2 linked regions of the Tribolium castaneum genome follow. Each later gene encodes a partner of the first gene's protein in a complex. Links are inferred from orthologs where the notes say so. Each region holds a gene or a part of one and is shown in the gene's direction. Other genes may lie near its edges. The genes, in order: Nup43 and Nup37.

What was found.
Region 2: Nup43 (region 1) and Nup37 share a complex: the UniProt entries of both Homo sapiens proteins name them as parts of the nup107-160 subcomplex of the nuclear pore complex. The link is inferred for Tribolium castaneum from reciprocal best matches to the Homo sapiens genes NUP43 and NUP37.

What each region holds. Positions count from the first base shown.
Region 1 is NC_087398.1:14,041,466-14,046,050, reverse strand, and holds the start of Nup43 (nucleoporin Nup43), read left to right. Parts: upstream 1-1,572; 5' UTR 1,573-1,674; coding exon 1,675-1,896; intron 1,897-1,966; coding exon 1,967-2,435; intron 2,436-4,585. UniProt on the Homo sapiens protein: Component of the Nup107-160 subcomplex of the nuclear pore complex (NPC). The Nup107-160 subcomplex is required for the assembly of a functional NPC.
Region 2 is NC_087402.1:810,339-813,884, reverse strand, and holds Nup37 (nucleoporin Nup37), read left to right. Parts: upstream 1-1,429; 5' UTR 1,430-1,447; coding exon of another isoform or gene 1,448-1,501; 5' UTR 1,502-1,506; coding exon 1,507-1,565; exon of another isoform or gene 1,566-1,590; intron 1,591-1,637; coding exon 1,638-1,708; intron 1,709-1,784; coding exon 1,785-1,843; intron 1,844-1,890; coding exon 1,891-2,073; intron 2,074-2,169; coding exon 2,170-2,784; 3' UTR 2,785-2,799; downstream 2,800-3,546. Other genes in the region: DNA mismatch repair protein Msh3, read right to left, coding at 1-697; Nop10 (H/ACA ribonucleoprotein complex subunit 3), read right to left, coding at 1,204-1,301, 1,353-1,395, 1,448-1,501. UniProt on the Homo sapiens protein: Component of the Nup107-160 subcomplex of the nuclear pore complex (NPC). The Nup107-160 subcomplex is required for the assembly of a functional NPC.

The sequences.
Region 1 (4,585 bases):
CCATACATCCACAGCTGTTTACAGGTCGTAATGGTTATAAAATAATATAATCAATTTTTATGTAATGTAGAGTCACAAAATATGTATTATTACAAAAAATCATCGATAAACACTTTCTCATGTTTTTTAACAGTAGGTATAGAGAGAATTATTATTGTAAAAATAGTAAGTCCTGTTAGCCTTTTTCAATATTATGTTTTCGCCTAAGATTCCGCATCCAATACCCTTTATGCTTCGTCCTAAACTGACAAACATTATTTTCTTCCAAGCGAAATTGTGGAGATATACTAAAGTAATATTTCATGACAACAATGCAATGGGGCCAGAAAATGATTAGTCTGCAGTAAAAAAGATGTTTATTGCTCACTTCGTCTCACTTTTCAGAACAGATGTTACCATGAGCAGACATGGGGCCTAAGCTGAAGCAAGCCCAAAGAAACCCTAACTTGCGAATCATTTTCTGTCGTCAACTGCACTGTTATAAAATATTACTTTAGTCAATCTTAACTACTCTGCTTGGAAGATAATACAAAATAACTATTTAATATTATTATTGGTTTTAAAATGAGATTTGTGACATACAATAAGGGCCTTACGTTTCACCAAATTATTCTATAAAGTTAAGTGAAACATTTAAACCTGTTCTGATATGTAATGTTCTAAAAACATGTTTTTAAACAGCGTCTTGAAAATAGTCTGTGCAACAGACATTTAATGAGGTTGAAAGTATATGGTGGTGCAGTGTGTGATCTTTTAAATCGCCGGCTTTATTTTTTGCATCATATGAACATTCGCGACATTTAAATATATATTGTTTACAGTACTGAAATAACCATGTCTGTTACTAATAGCAAGTTTTAGAAACACTAATACAAAAAACGTCTCTAAATTGCAACTAACGCAAGCTGTGAATGGAATCACACATTTGATTCAAAGGCACATGTTTAATGTGTGTATAGTGTATCTTATTCAATGGTGTCCCTTTAAATGTAGAAACTGGTTCGTCTCAAAGGAATAATCACGACATTTGTGCTCCTCAAGGGGCTGCTACAACACTAAACTGGCTTAGTGTCTTCCTCAGGCAACAGCTGTTTAATCATTTTCGTCTTCGATTTTTTTATCAATCTGAAAAATTTCTAGGTTAAAAAAGTTGTAAATTGTTTTAGTTTTACTGACCTGTTCCATTTCTTGGCTTTGGGAGAGCTTATCACATACTTTATTTTGTATTTATTACTAAATTCGTCTAATTGCCTTTCATGTAGGGGGGCTTTATAAAGGCCAGTTCTGTTGTTGAAATTTCATGACTGACATCTAGTGGAAAACATTACTGTCAGTGAACAGGTTGCCATGAACGTACACCTACTTCCGTTTCTATAAAATAAACCCCCCACATAAAAAAATCTGTTTTAAATAGTTATTTTATTTTTAAACATAAACTTATTACAGTTCAGCCGTAACAATATTTTCTAAACATTAATCATGTATTCTTATAACGTACTTCTGGCTTAAAAAAATGTAGAGTCGTTAAGCAATTTGTCTTATAGATTTGATACGGAGTATACTCCACCGCACGTATAGTGGGTTGCCTGACAATTATTCAATTATGCTTTCAACGACACAGTGAGGTTATAGCGCCACTTTTTTAATTTTTATGGGCTTAATTATACACAAAATATGGCCCACAACATTCATGGAACATTTGTTTCTGAAAAAGTTAATAAAATCCGTTGGAGGCCCGATTTTATGAATGCCTCGCATTATTTTGTAACCGGCAGTTGGGACAATGACCAAAACAGCATCAAACTTTGGGATTTCCAAGAAAATGAAGAAGATGCCGAAGTTTATCCATTTCTGGTGGCTGAATTTCCACACAACGGGGACATAACTGAAGTTAAAGTATGTATATTACAATCAGTATTGCGATACGAGCCACGTAGCGAGTGAAACAATTTTTGTCATTTTTTAGTTCTTAAACGGCGATTTTTTCGTTGCTTCTTCGTCGTCGGGCTGCGTCAGTCTGCTGAAGATTACTTCCGAACATGGAATTGATCCCTTAATTGAGAGAAAAATTTACTGGGAGGGAGTTCACAAATTTCCCAATGGGGAGAATTGCCCTTGCACTGCCTTTTGCACCTACGACAACGATATTGTGAGCGTTGGCGAAGACGGTTCTATCAATTTGTTAAATGCCCAAAACCAAAACGTTATCCGCACAATTGAAAACGCCGATAGTTGCTCAATTCGTTGTGTGGCTTTTCTGAAGCATAGCGAAATTTTGACCGGTAATTTTCGTGGACAATTGAAGATTTTCGATATTCGGGCCCCTAAAAGCCAACCCGCGACCACTTTCATGTTGAGTGGGGATCAAATCTCGCCATTGTGTCTCCAAAACCACCCTACACAGAGGCATTTGGTGGTAGCTGGCGATGAAGAAGGTACCTATTTTTTTTTTATTTATGTTGGCAAACGCCAAAAATGGTGCCAACTTAAAGGTATTGGCAACTTTCTTTTAAATGATACCAAAATAGTTATTTACATTATACGTGCGGTAGGTATAATTTTACAGCGTGAAGTTTTAATAAAATTGAACGCTGTAAAATGAGTCGTCTAGTTCCAAAACCTGCCGTCTCTATTCAGTATTTTTGTTTAATGTTTAATACAAATGCTGTTGAACAAATAAATTTTAAATTACACTGATATAAAACCTCTTAGAGAGTAGAATTCGATGACCTATACTTTAATTACAATGTTTGAATTTAAAGCCTGCATTTTTTTTAAGGTTGGAGGTGGCAAGTTTTGGAACAAGTTGGAGAGGAGATGGGCGGTTATGGAACAAAATGTCTTTTAAAAATCCTTTTTTTAAGACTAGATAGTGAAATGGAATAAAAAAACTCAAACTACGTATTTGCTGAAATAACATGTGGCTAAAGTTTTAAGTCTTTTAAGGCAAACACATAACTCCAAAAAACAACGCGGAGATAGTTGATTTTGGAACGCATATATAAGATTACTTTACGTAAAGAAATGACATTGATATTTCAAACTTTAATGCAGTTGATGTTAATAACTATTTTTTGTTAGTATTTAGTCCGCCAGATAATTGTGCTAAATCCACATTATCATTAGTACGCAAAAAAATCAACGATAATGGTTCCTTTCGTCTTCAGCTTGCTGCTGTTGATGAAGTTTATGAAATAGTTATAGTGTTGACGAAAATATTTTTATTTTTGATGTTGTGTATAGTTCTGCGTAACTGGCTATGTCTATACCATAAACCAATGAAAACTTCCACAAAACCGCATCAATTATTTTGGGCATCTTCTTAGTACCTGCAAGAGGCTCATTATCTTTTAGGATTCCTTCTTGTAAACAACAATGATCAAAATAATAACTGCAATTGTGGGGTAAGTTTTTGTTGGTTTGCGGTTGACATAGCAAGTAATGTGAGAACTATAAGTATATACCCTATATATACTCAAAATTGACGCCCATGCTTTTAGGATTTGCTTCAGAAGACTAAAACAAATCGAAAGTTAAGAGTGAAAAATTGTCCAATTGTCCTTCGTTATCGAGTTATTGATAAGTATCTAAAATTTAAAATTTGTACATTAAATTTTATTAAAAGCGAATTTACCAAATTTGTTGTCACAAAGTATGCTATAATGCGATTTGGAAACTTTTCCGTGTAGGCCCTAGTCTCAGCAGTGGCATTGCCATCATACAAACATCTTACTTATAACCGAGCTTTTAACATATCGTCAAAATTTCGAATACACTAATAAAGTGGTATCTTATCATTTAACACATACAAAAACGAAGGAAATTAATAATACTCTTTACTAGACACAGTTATTCAAAGAATTTTAATATCGCTAACATCAACTAATCAATTATGTTGCACAAATAATTGGAAAGACAGCTAAAGCTTATTATTTACATTTTTATCAATAACTCTAAAACGAACAATTGGAAAATTTTTTACTCTTAACTTTCGATTTGTATTAATACCCTAAATCAAACTGCCATAGCACAGGCGTCAATTTTGAGACTTTTACTTGTTAGAACGTAATCTATTCAACATTTTTCAAACGAGCGTAAATGGTTGGCTTGGTTAAACGAAACTGATCGAAGAAATTTACATCACTAACAATTTCAAAATAATTTTTCTTTTTCTATAAATTTTTTGTCTTCGCAGTTCGGAAGAAGATAATGAATTAGAAGAAAAAATGAACACTTTCTTAATTTTGTGCAATTCAAAAAACTGACAAATTTAACGTTTGTTAAAGTTGCTTTTGTAATTTGCCGCCGTCTTTACGTCTTTACCTAATCATTATTTGACGAAATATTTTACGAAAATTTTTAGGTTGAAACGCATTTTAAAAATTGAAGTCACTTTTAAAAGTTTAAGTTACTTTAAAATGATTTATGAAACGATCCTACTTCAAGTTATTTCGATATAAATTTGGGATTATGACGTCATAACCGTCTCTCGAGCATTATTTGGTCCAATTTTAAGATCAAATAGTTTTTGATCACTGCCAAAGAATATCGAAATGAAGACACAATTTCTGAGATATTTTCGCAA
Region 2 (3,546 bases), on another chromosome or scaffold:
GAAGTGGTGGAGGAAGTGGTTTAGTGGTTACACTTTTCTCAGTGATATTTTTCGCAAGGCCCGCCAACAGGGAGGCCCTTAACACGTCCTCATCCTCCTCTAGGTCAATAACCGGGTTTTTTTCCTCCGTTTTTTTCTCATCTTTCGGCGTATCATTCTCTTTATTTTCGAGCGTTTCTTCCTTTTTCCGCTTCCGGCGTTGGAATTTGTTCAAAATCGCGGTCTTTAGCGCTTCCAAACGCAAATTCTCCAGTTCAGTATCGTCCATTTTATCTGAGGTGTCTTCGTTTTTTTGGGGGGGCTCGGGGGCGCTCGCGGCCAGGCCCCCCATGGCTTTGAGTCGTGTCTCGAGGGGTTTTTTGAGCCCCTCATCACTACCACTGATGTGGATCGCCTCTTTTAACTTGCCCTTGAGATCTTGAGGAGGTGACACATCACTGTCACTGTCGTCAGACGACGGTATTCGGCGCTTTTTGCGCCGTTTTTGGTGCTTTGATTTACGGTGCAGTAGCTTTTTAGTTTTGATCTTGTCTGATTCACTATCGCTACTTAAAGGGGGTGCACGTAAATGTTGGTTAGTTGAAGCAAACTTACCAAAAGTTGAATCGATGATGGAATTATCGGAAATGGCTTCGAAATCATCATCGTCAACTATTTCACCGTCTTCTAACTGATCACTTGGGCTCGGATCGCCCATTTTTACGTATTTTATTGATTTTTTTGAGAAAGAACAAAGGTTTCTCACAAATGGCGTGTCAAATGACAATGACAGGCAAGGGCGGCGCTGATAACGCTACCAAATGTCCCTAAAATGCGAAGCTAATGTGTGTGTATTCTATGGCTAATTTACACAAAATGACCAACAAACGGCCTGGAATTTACGCCCTTTATTCAGACAAGCGTTTACTACCACAAAACAGTCAAGAAATGACTTATTCTTCACACAAGGCACTGAAAATCAAGCGCCGTTAGTGGTGCCAACCTAGTGAATTTTCCCAATTTTGGGGAATTCTTTTAAAGTTTTTTTTTAAATAATTTTGAAAAATTCTAAGTAAAACTATAACTTTTTGAAAAAGACATCTAAAAGATAACTTGAAGAATGTAGAAGAAGCAGCAACATGACAAAAAAAAAACACATTATTTTACGATTTTTTATTCATATCAAAAAAATATTCTCATCACAATAATAAAATAAACTATTTCTCAATAAATTGGTTCCGGCTGTTGCGTCATTAATAACCCGAAACGTTTTTTGATTGTGATTCGCTCACGTGAGTATTTGTCCTCGGGTGAAAAACGTGCTAAAACAATAATGAGTTCACGTAAACCCCCCAAAATTCACGAATTGTTACCTGGATGTGCCGAAAGTGTGGGTTTTCCTGAAGGGTCAAATTTCTACAAAAAAACTCATTTATCACAATATTTAAGACAGTAAAGTAACACTCACATTTAAGGTGTAAACCCGGTTACCGTCTTTATCCAAATAATACATTAAGTACATCTTGAATGAAGAAAATTCCCACAAAAAAACGATTTTTTTCGCTTCACAACAAATGTGGTTTAAGGTTAGTTTTGGTTACCAATATGACGCCGCATGGTGACATAACACAAAAGTTACTAAAGTTAGGTTATTGTAGGTTAGATTTCTGGCGCACTTTTCTAATCAAACATAATTATGGAAATTGCATCGCATTTGAACGATTCCAAGGTAGTATTTAAGAAGGATTTTTCGGAATATGGACAAATACTAAACATTGAATTCTCCCCTTTTATTCTTTCCCAAGATTTGATTTTAATTGGGTTCGAAAGTAAAGTAGTCCTGGGGCATTTAAAGATAGATGAGGTATGTTTTGTAACAATAGAATGATGTTTGATTTATTAAAATTGTAGGAACAATCGCTGGAACTCGATATTTTGGCAGAATTCACTCTTAAATCACGCTGCTGTTCCTTAACATTTTCCCCAGAAACATCAACCAGCATTTTACCAAATAATATAATTTTCGCAGCGGCCTGCAAAGACTACAAGGTGCGAGTGTTTCGGAGTGATTTAAGGGGCTCTGATGTGTGTAAGGTTCGTAAATAAATAAATAAATTGATTTGAATTGGCATAAGAGTAGGCTGTGATTAGTAAATAAAAACCTTTTTTTTTAATTATTTTTTTGACTAGGTCTTAAGTGAGCACAACAGTTACATAAACGACGTTAAATTCGACCCTGACAATAATTTTCTGGTGTCAGTGAGTGACGACAACACTGCCAAACTATGGGACACCACCGATTTTCAATGTGTGGTGACACTGCAACTGACGTCACCTGGAATGTCAGTATGTTGGCACAAAGACGACGGTTCAAAATTACTCATTGCTGAAAAAATCGGTTTAATTCGTTTCTACAACGTTGAGACGCAAAATCCAATTCTATCGCTTGATTATGGGAAGCCCCTAGCTTGTGCCCATTGGGCGCCGTCCGATTCGCAATTAGTGGCATCATTGCAGTTAGGGGAATTACTCATTTGGGATTTGTCAAAGCCGTGCGTTCCGGCGAGTAATACTCTTGTTTTTACCGAAGCTGGAGGTTTTGTTAGGTTTAATTCATTTGGGAATTTGGTGGCGGCGATTAATAGTCTAGATAGTACGTTGAAAATTGTTGATTGTCAGATTAATCAAATGAAGTTGTCAGTTCCTGTCACACTTCCGAGTAATGTTAGTTGGCATTGCCGATATCCAATTGTTTGCGTTGGCGATTATATGACGTTGACTTTTTGGAAAGTTGTCTCAAAATAAACATATTTCACATAATTCTGTGTTTTATTTAATTTTTTTCTCCGGAACTTCTTACCTGAGTTCTTACACACTTTTCATGAGTATTTTGATTTCAGAAAAAATACAAAAAATTTTATTACATATACACTCAATCATGGAGGGTTGTATATGTATGTTGGTAATCTTTTTTAAATAGTACTAGAATCAAAAAAATCGATGTTCTTTTAACTGTCATTGAAATAAATGTGTTATAATCATTATTTGATCAATATTTTCAAAAAATCTTAGTAGCCTTGCAATTTAACAATTGACAATGCTGAAAATTTTAGTACTTCAAACATTTGTTTATTAAATTAAAAAAAATCACTTACTACAAAAGGTTCAAGAGATGATATTTTGAATGAAAATTTGCATAAAAATTAACATACACATTTTTTTTAAATAAAAAAACGCAATTTTGAGTTTTTTTTAATATTTACTTAATACAATTTGTTTCCTCTGTGTAACTGTGCTGTGCTACAAATAATAGGAAATACGATAACACAGTTATCGCACAAACATTGTTAATGATACGAAAATGGAGCATCCGTGATTTTTTTCCCCAAACAAGTGACATAACCTATCACTACCAGCCTCATACTTATTCCAAAACCCTTCCAACGTTTTTTCCCAACAATTATCGGTCCCCACATCTGAATTAATAATAATTTTCCCGCCTCACGTATCCATAAACACTCCAAGTCATTTATTGTGTAACTAAGTATATTATTGGTTCATAAAAGA